Linked DNA regions of Ovis aries. The protein of the gene in region 2 purifies or fractionates together with the protein of the main gene of each other region. This does not show direct contact. Links are inferred from orthologs where the notes say so. Each region holds a gene or a part of one and is shown on either strand. Other genes may lie near its edges. The genes, in order: ANAPC7, ANAPC2 and ANAPC13.

Region 1 (3,645 bases), on a different chromosome or scaffold from region 2:
AGATCCTACTGATAAACACTTTTGCTTGTAGTTTCTTACCATTATAAACAGTGCTACAGTAAGCAGCCTTACTTATATACCCTTGCAAACCTTTTGTGAATCAATTACAGTAAATATCTAGCAATGGTATGACTGTCAAGTGGTGAAATTAGTTTTTTACCCTTCATTTATTTAATCATCAAGCAACCAAAACTAGTAAGAACTCGTAAGATAATTTCATATGAATTTCCCCAGGTATTCACAATCCTAAGAACTGACTGACATCTTGAAATTTAAAAAAAAAAAAAAAAAACCATTTTAGACTTAACTCTGTTTGTATAAAAGGGAGGAATAATACATGACTTTGGTTAGAGCCCAGATAATTCTATTTTTCAATTCATCCAGAGTGAATTTTGTTTTTAGCCCTTTGTGCTTGGTTGGATGAATTCTTGTACCTAAGTGGTTTTTAACTTTTGTTTCTCCAGTCAGCTCCCCTTTAAAATTACTTTAAAATTTTTTAATTTATTTCTGGCTGTGCTGAATCTTCATTGTTGTGCAGGCTTTTCTCTAGTTGCAGTGAGCAGCGGGGGGCGGGGGGGCAGGCTGGTCTCTAGTTGCAGTACACAGGCTACTTATTGTGGTGGCTTATCTTGTCAACCACAGGCTCTAGAGCACGTGGGCTCAAGAGCACAGGCTCTATAGTTATGGTGCATGGGCTTAGTTGCTCCGGGGCATGTGGGATCTTTCCAGATCAGGGATCAAACCCATTTCTCCTCCACTGACAGGCAGATTCTTTACCACTGAGCCACCAGGGAAGTCCTTAAAATTACTTTTTATTTTACATCTTCTACATCTAATCAGCAGTCTTACATTCCTTCCACCTCTCCTGCTCTCAATACAAACAAACCAGAAACATATCACACATCTATCTCCAATTACCTGACTCTGCGGAGTGGATGCAGAATTTCCAGTTGAAGGTCTCACTTTTGAAGTTTTACTTAGGGCTTTCTTTTGCTGTAAAGCCATAGTATACTTACTCACAGCATTCCGATACTCCTTATCATGAAAGAGAGAATCTGCATGATACACCAAAAGCTGGTACTTCTGAGATGGGGAGAATAACTCACTAGAAAAACAAAGAAAGTATACCCCCTACATGGGTTATTTTGAAATGTCAGAAAGAACGCCCTCCTTAGTGTCTACATAAGCCAAAAAACAAAGGCAATTACTTTAATTGCTAGTCCCTAAAAAAAGAGCCAAGACTCATACTCCATGTTAATACTGTCAACATATGTAGAAAATTGCCTTAAATTGTTTTCCTTTACTATGAAAATAATGATACTTCTAAATCAAATTCAGTAATACAGAGATATACAAAGAGAAATATTAATACAGCTGACCCTTGAACAAACCAGGCTTGAATTACAGGGTCCATCAATATGTAGATTTCTTTTTTCAATAGCACACACTACAGGAGTATATACCATCTTGGTAGAATCTATGTTTGCAGAACTGCAAACTCAAAGGAAATGCATACATAAAGAGCCAAATATAAGTTATATATTAATTTTTGACTGTGAGCCTCCTACCCTCCTCTGAAACTTGCTCAAGGGTCAGGTGTACATCTTTTCCTCCCCCTCTTTAACCCAAGCCCCCTTAAGAATTAATACTCTCACAGTAACATCGAGTTTTCAGGCTAATACAGACAAAGTAGAGCAATCATGACTTAATATTACCAAATACTGCCAAAGAAGGGTTAAAAAACTGCAAAAGAGAAACCCACCACTCTGAATCTTTTTTATCTAAGTGTTAACAAAAAGAGGTTTGGAGGGAATTTGAAACTCTTCAAATACTGAAGAAAATGGGAATATTTGAAATACAGAAAAAGACTAGGACAAGCCAATGGGACAGAATGGAACAGATGAGAGGATTAGCTGTATTTGATAGAAGCTGTTTTTCTCTCCATATGTAAGTAAATTTTACTGGGGCTTCCCAGGTGGCTCAGTAGTAGAGTCCACCTGCCAAGCAGGAGACACAGGTTCAATCCCTGGGTCTGGAAGATCCCTGGAGGAGGAAATGGCAACCTACTTCAGTATTCTTGCCTGGGAAACCCCACGAAAAGAGGAGCCTGACAAGCTACAATCCATGGGGTAGCAAAGAATTGGACACGACTTAGTAAGTAAACAGCAGCAGCAAGTAAATAAACTTCACTAGCACTAGAAGATTACTTCCTTGAGTCTCAGGGGTGTAAGGACATAGTAACAGAAGAAATACATTTCAGAATGTCCCCTTCAATATTGAATATTGCTTGCAAGTGTTATAGGTGCCAGAAGTGTCCACCAATCTTAATGGGAAACTTGTATTTTTAATCTCCAATCCCATCCCTCATCTAGTTAAAATTTACATTTTTTCTTTGACAGGGACAAGCTGTTGCTGCTAAGTCACTTCAGTTGTGACCAACTCCGTGTGACCCAATAGATGGCAGCCCACTAGGCTCCCCCATCCCTGGGAGTCTCCACGCAAGAACACTGGAGTGGGTTGCCATTTCCTTCTCCAATGCATGAAAGTGAAAAGTGAAAGTGAATTCGCTCAGTCGTTTCGACCCTCAGCGACCCCATGGACTGCAGCCTTCGAGGCTCTTCCATCCATGGGATTTTCCAGGCAGGAGTCGGGTGCCATTGCCTTCTCCGGACAGGCACAAGCTGCTGCCACTTAAAAAGAAAAAATAGTCTAAGAACTCTGTAGATGGTTAATTGCTCAGCAAATGAAGGATACTCAAGAACAGGTACCACGGATTAGTAACTGCCAAAGGCTGGGGCAAGTGGGATTTATGACTACTAACTGATTTGGGGTTTCTTTGGGGATAATACAAATGCTTTAGAACAAACATTGGTGATGGTTGTACAACTCTGTGAATATACTTAAAACCACAGAAATGTATTCTTTAAAAGCATGAATCTGATGGTATGCAAATTTTATCTTAATACAAAATAATTTTAAAAAAGGATAGGCTAAACACTGAATATAAAGTGACAAAGAAAAGTTAAGGATTGAAAGGTACAGTTCAGACAGTTGAGACCTATTCCAGCTCTGACATTCTATTTAGGGAGACACACTGGATCATGGAAAAAGCAAGAGAGTTCCAGAAAAACATCTATTTCTGCTTTATTGACGGTGCCAAAGCCTTTGACTGTGTGGATCACAACAAACTGTGGAAAATTCTGAAAGAGATGGGAATACCAGACCACCTGACCTGCCTCTTGAGAAACCTGTATGCAGGTCAGGCTGCAACAGTTAGAACTGGACATGAAACAACAGATTGGTTCCAAATAGGAAAAGGAGTATGTCAAGGCTGTATATTGTCACCCTGCTTATTTAACATATATGCAGAGTACATCATGAGAAACACTGGACTGGAAGAAACACAAGCTGGAATCAAGATTGCCCGGAGAAATATCAATAACCTCAGATATGCAGATGACACCACCCTTATGGCAGAAAGTGAAGAGGAACTCAAAAGCCTCGTGATGAAAGCGAAAGAGGAGAGTGAAAAAGTTGGCTTAAAGCTCAACATTCAGAAACTAAGATCATGGCATCTGGTCTGATAACTTCAAGGCAAATAGATGGGGAAACAGTGGAAACAGCGTCAGACTTTATTTTTTTGGG
Region 2 (3,745 bases):
CTACACCCAGGGCCATCCCGTCACCCAGAGCCACTGAAGCTTGGCAGTTGCCTCTCTCGGCACCAAAGACAACAAACCGAGAAAGCTGCTTCCCTGAAGAACAAAGGTGCTTTAAAGACAGGCTTGCGGGGGGCGCTGAGCCGCAGGCAGGACCCCCACCCGCGGCCTCATCAACTCTCTTTGCCTCCACTGCTCTTCTGCTCTGAGGCTGTAGCCTTCGTCAGGTTCCCCGCTTCTCGCTTCAGGACACTAAGCAGAGTCTGCGAGCTCTCCAGGATCTGCGGACAGAGACGCCAGCCAGTTAACACTCTTCCCCCCCCCCCCCCCCCCCCCACCCCCCGCCCCGTCGGAAAGTTGCCACAGCCCGGCGCCCCATCCTGCGCTGGGCCCGGCTCCCCTCTGAGTATAGCCCAAAGCCCACTGCTCACACCCCGGGAATCCAGGCCCCGGTTGGCTCCCGCTCCCGCTGCTGCTCAGTCTGGAGCCAGCGACACGGCGACAAGACGCCAACAGTAGGACCCAGGCCTCGCTGTCACTCCACGGGGGCCGACGACCTGTCTAGGCGCCCCGGGGCCAGCACCCGGACCCCGAGCCCCACCTTGAGGTAGGCGGCTTCTGTCTCCGCGATGGTCCGATCGAACTCGTTCCGAGAGGCGATCTTGCGCGCCAGGTTCTCGTTGACTCGGGCCAGCTTCTCCGTCAGCTGCCTCACCTCGTTCTGCAGCCTCTGCTTTTCCTCCTCCTCCTGCTGTATCTGCCGGCACAGCTCCTCCCGCTTCTGGCACAGCTCCTCGATGCCTGGGGCGAGCGGGGAGCGGGCGCGGTGGGCGCCGGGGGCCGCGGTGGGCACGGGAGCGCCGGCCCCAGCGCGCGAGGCGAGCGGCCAGCGAAGGCCCGGGCGTCCAGACCAGGCCGGCGGCCGGCGTCCCAGAGCGTCTGCCGTCTCAGGAGGCCCCGCGCGAGCCCCCGTGCTGTCTGTGGGGCTGAGCGCGCCCAGGCCCCCGCACCCTGCTCGCGCCATAGACGCCGGCTCTCGGGGCGGCCACTCCGCGGCTCCGCCCGGCGTCCGGGCCGCTCCGGCCGGAACAGCCGCGCGCGGCGGGCCAGCGCCGGCCCGGGCCCGCAGGCCGGCGACCCCGCCGCCCTCCCAGCCTGCCCGCCGGCCTCGCCGCGCGGCCACTCACACTTGACCAGCTCGTTGTTGTAATTCTGCAGCGCCGCGCCCTGCTGGGTCATGGTCGCCGCCGGGCCCCGCCGCCCCAACCGCCGCTGCAGCCCCCCTCAGCGCCTGCGCACGATCTCCGCTCGCCCCGCCCCCGGTCGCGTCACCGCCCCTGCGCCTCTCGCCGCGCACCGTGTGCGTCATCGTCGCGCGCGCGCGCCCAATTTGGCGTCATCGCGGCGCGCCTCGCCGAGCGGCTCTGAGAGCTGGTGGGCGCAGATGGCGGCGGCGACGGAGGCGGGCCGTGACGCGGGGCCTGCGCAGGAGCTGCTGGCGGCCTGGAACACCGTGAGCACCGGGCTGGTGCCTCCGGCCGCGCTGGGACTGGTGAGGCCCGAGATGAGGGCGACGGGCCGGCGCGGGGTGCCCGGGGCCCCGAGCCCGCCGGCGCCCGTCCTGGCTTCCCTGCGTGTTCCGCAGCCCTTCCCTCGCGTGGGCCTGCGTCCCTGCGAGGAAGGGCGGCGGGGTTCCCGTGGCCTTCCATCCGCGCTGTCCCTTTCCCACTTTTTCTCACCTGTCTCCACCCTCTCCGCCTCCGCGGTGCGTCCCCTTCTCATGGTTTTCTGTACTGCAGGCGTCCTCTCGAACCAGCGGTGCCGTCCCTCCAAAAGAGGAGGAGCTCCGGGCGGCGGTGGAGGTGCTCAGGGGCCACGGTCTGCACTCGGTCCTGGAGGAGTGGTTCGTAGAGGTGCTGCAGACCGACCTGCAGGCCAACATCTCCCTCGAGTTCTGGAATGCCATCTCTCAGCGCGAGAACTGTGCGGACGAGCCCCAGTGCCTTCTGTTGCTCCTCGATGCTTTCGGTCTGCTGGAGAGCCGCCTGGATCCCTACCTGCGTAGTCTAGAGCTCCTGGAGAAATGGACTCGCCTGGGCTTGCTGTTGGGCACCGGTGCTCAGGGGCTTCGGGAGAAGGTCCACACCACGTTGCGGGGCGTCCTGTTCTTTTCCACTCCCAGAGCTTTTCAGGAGATGATCCAGCGCCTCTACGGGCGCTTCTTGAGAGTTTACATGCAGAGTAAGAGAAAAGGGGAAGGAGGCACAGACCCGGAACTGGAGGGGGAATTGGACAGCAGGTATGCCCGCCGCCGGTACTACCGCCTTCTGCAGAGCCCGCTGTGCGCGGGGTGCGGCAGTGACAAACAGCAGTGCTGGTGCCGCCAAGCGTTGGAGCAGTTCCACCAGCTCAGCCAGGTCCTGTGAGTACTTGGCCTGCGTGTCCTGTGTCCCTGTCCCTCCTGGCTCCTGCTTGTCACTCTGGGTCCCGCCGGCCCCTGCAGAGAGCTGGTGAGCTAGCTGGGGGTGGTCTCTGCCGCTCGCCCTGGTTCCCAAGGGTTCTCAGGATGTGTGTTTTCTATGAGTTTATGCCTCTTGTCCTTGCCTAGGTGTGTCTGTTATTCACCCTGGCTCAGGTGAATTCACCTTTGTACTCTGCTTACGCTAAGACTGCTTGATTCTACGTGTCCCGGGCTGTGCAGAATTCTGCTGTGCCTGTTGTAGGCTCTCGGAAGTGGAATGACATTTGTCTTGGAATTGAGAAAAATACGCTTGCTGTTTCTTCTCTGTAGAGCAAGTCAGAGATTAGACCAGCATGCTGGGCAAACTGATGGCCTTTCTAGCCTTGTGAGGGGGGAAGGATTCTGTTGTCAGACCCAGGCCCTGTCGTGCGGGTCCCCGGCTCTCTGGGTGCTTGCTTGTGTAAAGTCCCTGTTCGCTGTCGCTGCGTCGGGTCTGGACTGCGGCGCATGGGGCCTTCGCTGGCCTGCACGGGCTTCTCTCTCACTGTGGCGTGTGCACTTAGCTGCCCCGCGACACGTGGGATCTTAGTTCCCTGACCAGGAATTGAACCTGTGTCCTCTGCTTTGGGAGGATTACTAACCCCTGGACCGCTCGGGACGTCCCGTGGCCCCTTGTGATGATTTTGTCAGTGTGAATGGAGTGGCAGCTGCGCAGCCGTCAGAGTCTTCTCACTGGGCTGACGGTGTGGCGTGCTCCCCAGAAGCTTGGTTCTCTTGGGCTTTTCTGCCATCATGGGTCGGGATCAGCACTGAGAAGCAGAGACTGCTACGTCTGTGTTCACGTGGCCGGAGTAGTGACTTCTCTAGCTATTGTTTGAGGGCCATTGTTAGGAGGTGGACGAGGCCTTGGCCCCAGTAGCCAGAGGTGCTGACCCCTTGGGGAGAGTGGGAGGTGCCTTACCGGTGCTGCCATCTCAGCCGCTTTGTCTTGAGTTCCTCGGGGCGGTTTTGCCCCAGCGGGAGGGCTGCAGGAGGCTGTGCTGAGGGTGCGCGGCGGGTGCGTGCGCTGCGTGCGACGTGGGCGGGGCTCTCCTCCAGGCACAAGCTCAGTCTGCTGGAGCGGGTCAGCGCGGAGGCTGTGACCAGCACCCTGCACCAGGTGACCCGGGAGCGGATGGAGGACCGTTGTCGGGGCGAGTACGAACGCTCCTTCCTGCGTGAGTTCCACAAGGTGAGGCCCCTCCCGCGGATGAGAAGAGGCTGCTGGCAAAAGTGACTAGGTGCCTT
Region 3 (3,690 bases), on a different chromosome or scaffold from region 2:
GAGGGGCAGGAAACATCCTTATGTTTACCTAGTCTTAAGGCACACAATAGGCTTCAAAGAACTGCTTGTGGAATGAAAGAACCAACAAAAGTCCACAGGACAGGATCTGGAGCCTCACAGACCTCAGTGTGAAGTCTAGCTTATTAGCTACCAACCTTTGGGCAAGATCTCCTCTTTGATCCTATTTTCTTCCTGTACAGTGGGGACATCATCATCACCCCTGAAGGTTCTTTTAAGGATATAGATAAAATAAGTCAGGTTTCAACCTCAGCCCATGGCACAAAACAGGTATTCAATGAAAGTGGAGCTATAATTCTTATTATGCTCTTTTGATTATTTTTCTAAACTTGAACTAAGCTGTCATTTATTATCTGTTACGTGTATTATTCCTTGAACACATTACCTCTTATTCTTAAATGAAAACATGTATGGCCACAGCAGACCACCTGCTTGCAAATTCTATTTAATCAACAACTCTTGGCAGGCTCTACAGAAAAACAATCCTTATTCTTCTTGTTAGGCTTCTATGACAAAAATTCTATGACAGAATTTTTAGTAAGCATTTATTCGAGTAAAACGTTTAGATCTTATGACGTGAGGCTTAACAAACTCCCTGCAGAATAATTTTCCAGAGATTAGGAAAGAAAAGAGCTTGATGATCTAAATGTAAAAGAAGAAAAGCCAGGTCTCTTCTGAATATTTTCCAGGGAACCTAGAATAGATATGTGTTCCAAAACTGTGAGTTTCTAAAAATGACAGGCCACAGGTAGAGAAATTAAGTGCATATACCACTGCTTCCTGTTCCTCCTCATGGTGTGCATTAAATTCTTTACTCCCTTTGGTGTGGTGGACAGAACATGGCTCAGAGGGCCTCAGTTCTAGTTCTCATATGACCTCTAATTGAGCTAGTCACCTCAGCAATCTGAACCACATTTCTCTTCAAATACAAAGTTGAGCTAAATACTCTCCAGAGGTTTCTAGAGTCAGAGGACTCCATAGTTTTGATTTCTTTGACTTTAATTTATTTGTCCATTGATAACCTACACCTACTAGGGTCTACCAGATCAGACCTTTAACCCATCACCCTCAGCACACATTTCAGCCTACCAGTGGTATTGCAACATCCTCATAAGGCAGCTTATCTTCTCGCCAAGCATCGTCAATCAAATCCAAGATCCTTCCATCTCTCTGTACCTCACTGTCCATTCTCTTGCAGCTTTGATCTTGTCGGATGGGACCTGTAAACCAAAGAGGTTATTTCTTAAACATGAAGAATGAAAAGATGATGTAATCCAGCCACTAGGGTTCTCTAGGCTTTCTAGTGTGGGTTTTGGCATTGGATCATCCAGGGAGACTCATCTCACCTGGATTAGATTACAGTTTCTTTATAACATCACAGTACCTCCCAGCTGATCTTCCTAGTCACACACAGATTCCATTTTTTGGTAAAGTTTTCTCGGATCACTCAGCGTCAGCATGCATTCTGCCCTTGAATGGTTCCTTGTTTTTATGATTCACTAGGCAAGTTAAGTTGGCTTTATGACTGATGGTTCAAGCATTATTGTTTTCAATTGCTGTGCGTAAATTTTTTATTAATGATTCAGCATGTTTTCCCTCAATTTGGCCTCAAATAGTTTTTCACCTATTCTTCTTTAGAATATATCTAACTTGTCACACTTTCCAGCCTTTGCACCTAAAAAGGTCTCTCTGCCCCATCACGAACACCTATTTTTCCTTCCAAACTCAAAGTTGAGTGTCAGCTCATCGGGGCTAACATCTCATTTCCAGAGTTAGGCGCTAAGGTGCCGTCACTCTTCAGGGGCTGGAAGCGTGGAAAGTACAAGGCGGGCAATGACCAGGTCACAGCCAGCGTCCCAGGCACTTGCCAGTCCCCATAATTAACTGTTACCACTTTCCTGAACAAAATCTTACACACGTGACTGTCCCAAAGCTTGGAATGCTCTGTCTTCTTCCTTTTTTCCTCAGCTAACCCCCAGTCACTCTAAACAACTTAGCTCCCAGGTTGCCTCCTGCAGGAAGCTTTCTCTAAGCTCCAAGAAGAACGCGATATCCGCCCCTCCGCAGGTTCCATATTTCCCGGGGCGCAGTGAATGGGCCCCATCAGGGGCTTGTTACATTGCCCGTTACAGGGTCTTCCCAGACAAGCGGTGCGTGCGTTTCTTCGGGACAGGGGCAGTTTTATTCACCTCTGTTTTAGAGATCGGTAAACTTGCAGTTAAAAGAGCAAACCTGGAATGCCCTTTCCCCCCCGCTAAATATGACCCTCTCGGGCCACCACCGTCCGTACAGGCGTGGGATCCCGCCCCATAACCTCGGCTTCCGGCCCAAGGCGGGCTCTACCAAATGCGGAAGCGGGGGAAGTCCAGGGCCTTCGTGTAAGTCCTTTTCTACCCTCCCGACGAGCGGTAAGGGAGGTAGTTATCAGGGTGAGGTGAGGGCAACGACCTCTGCCGATAGGATCGGCCGAAACCCGAACATGCGCTTCTCCTACACTACCTAAGCTAGGGCGCGGGAAACCTTTACCAGCACTGGCCCAGCACAGCCAGAACCACGCCCCCAGCGGTCATGTGGCCGAGGCGCCCTGCTCTCCGATCCCCGGAAGTCGGTGAGCCCATTTGGCGGGGCGGAGGGGGGGGGGGGTCAAGGAGGACGTTGCTTCAATTAAAAGTCAGGGAGCAGTAGGCGGAACGAATGTTCCGAAGACCGTGACTGGACGTCAGGTTGGCGGTGACGCGCGTGCGCGCCCCCGTCCGGAGGTAACGGCGGGAAGATTCGGGGGCGCGCTCGTGGCAGGCCTGTAACCGCATGTGTGAAAGTCCAACAGGCGACGGGTGCCGGTGTCCGGAGCCGGAGGCCGCCCTGGCTGCAGTGGGGCCGCAGACTGAGCGGCCGAATGGCCGGGGGCCGACTTCCTCAGCCGCCCGCTGGCCTCCAGGCTCGCCTCCGCCGGCCCGGCTCCGCCCCGGCGCCCCGCCCCTCCTCGCCGCAAACGCTTCGCAGACCCGCGAAGCAAGATATGGCCTCCCACGGCGCGCAGTCCGGGCTAGCCAGGTGGTCAGCCCTTCCCCTGAGGCCGGCCGGCGGGAGGGCGGCGGGGTGGGCGAGCTGCTCCGCTTCTCCCAGCGGAGTCGGCAGCGAGTCAGGCTGCCACTTCTGGGGAGGTACCCCCGGCCCAGCCCTCCCGCCTGGGCTGCCTCATTTGGCTAGCATCCTTCCTAGCCTTGTTGAGGCTTAGGTTGCTGACGGCAGGTGATAGTGGTTCATTTATGGGTGGGAAATTTAGCAAGTTTTTAAAAATAATTGACTTAAAAACCATAATGTTAGTTCCAGAGGTATGGTAATGTGGCAGAAATCATGAAGGACAGAATTTGGGGAACCCTGAACTTATTGCTCCATAGAAATCAGGGATGCGAAATAAAGTGAGAGAAAAAAAGGGATGGGCCCATAAAGCACTATAATCATGAACATATTTGGAAGCAGTAAACCTAGGCTCATAATGTAGTTTTTACAACATCAGAGAGTAAAAGTGAGCTTGCTGTCAGCGACTCGTGTTCATTTACAGCGTCTAGTTAAAGCATGCGTATTGCGCAGAGTAGTTTTCCTTAAGGCTTACAAACGGTTCCTTAAACCAGTGTTAACATTTTTTTCCTTCCTTTAATAAAACAGTAC

Evidence for each region.
Region 1: the proteins of ANAPC2 (region 2) and ANAPC7 fractionate together in Homo sapiens (co-fractionation; 6 studies listed by BioGRID and IntAct, with this or other methods). This does not show direct contact. The link is inferred for Ovis aries from reciprocal best matches to the Homo sapiens genes ANAPC2 and ANAPC7.
Region 3: the proteins of ANAPC2 (region 2) and ANAPC13 purify together in Homo sapiens (affinity purification with mass spectrometry; 3 studies listed by BioGRID and IntAct, counting the BioPlex papers as one, with this or other methods). This does not show direct contact. The link is inferred for Ovis aries from reciprocal best matches to the Homo sapiens genes ANAPC2 and ANAPC13.

The regions. Positions count from the first base shown.
Region 1 is NC_056070.1:54,333,954-54,337,598, forward strand, and holds part of ANAPC7 (anaphase-promoting complex subunit 7), read right to left. Parts: intron 1,106-3,645; coding exon 919-1,105; intron 1-918. UniProt on the Homo sapiens protein: Component of the anaphase promoting complex/cyclosome (APC/C), a cell cycle-regulated E3 ubiquitin ligase that controls progression through mitosis and the G1 phase of the cell cycle.
Region 2 is NC_056056.1:747,632-751,376, forward strand, and holds the start of ANAPC2 (anaphase-promoting complex subunit 2), read left to right. Parts: upstream 1-1,413; 5' UTR 1,414-1,441; coding exon 1,442-1,549; intron 1,550-1,796; coding exon 1,797-2,419; intron 2,420-3,556; coding exon 3,557-3,689; intron 3,690-3,745. Other genes in the region: microtubule nucleation factor SSNA1, read right to left, coding at 171-278, 599-798, 1,185-1,236. UniProt on the Homo sapiens protein: Together with the RING-H2 protein ANAPC11, constitutes the catalytic component of the anaphase promoting complex/cyclosome (APC/C), a cell cycle-regulated E3 ubiquitin ligase that controls progression through mitosis and the G1 phase of the cell cycle.
Region 3 is NC_056054.1:255,496,187-255,499,876, reverse strand, and holds the start of ANAPC13 (anaphase-promoting complex subunit 13), read right to left. Parts: upstream 2,827-3,690; 5' UTR 2,518-2,826; exon of another isoform or gene 2,397-2,517; coding exon of another isoform or gene 2,365-2,396; exon of another isoform or gene 2,343-2,364; intron 2,313-2,342; exon of another isoform or gene 1,365-2,312; intron 1,239-1,364; 5' UTR 1,207-1,238; coding exon 1,108-1,206; intron 1-1,107. Other genes in the region: CEP63 (centrosomal protein of 63 kDa), read left to right, coding at 2,827-3,072. UniProt on the Homo sapiens protein: Component of the anaphase promoting complex/cyclosome (APC/C), a cell cycle-regulated E3 ubiquitin ligase that controls progression through mitosis and the G1 phase of the cell cycle.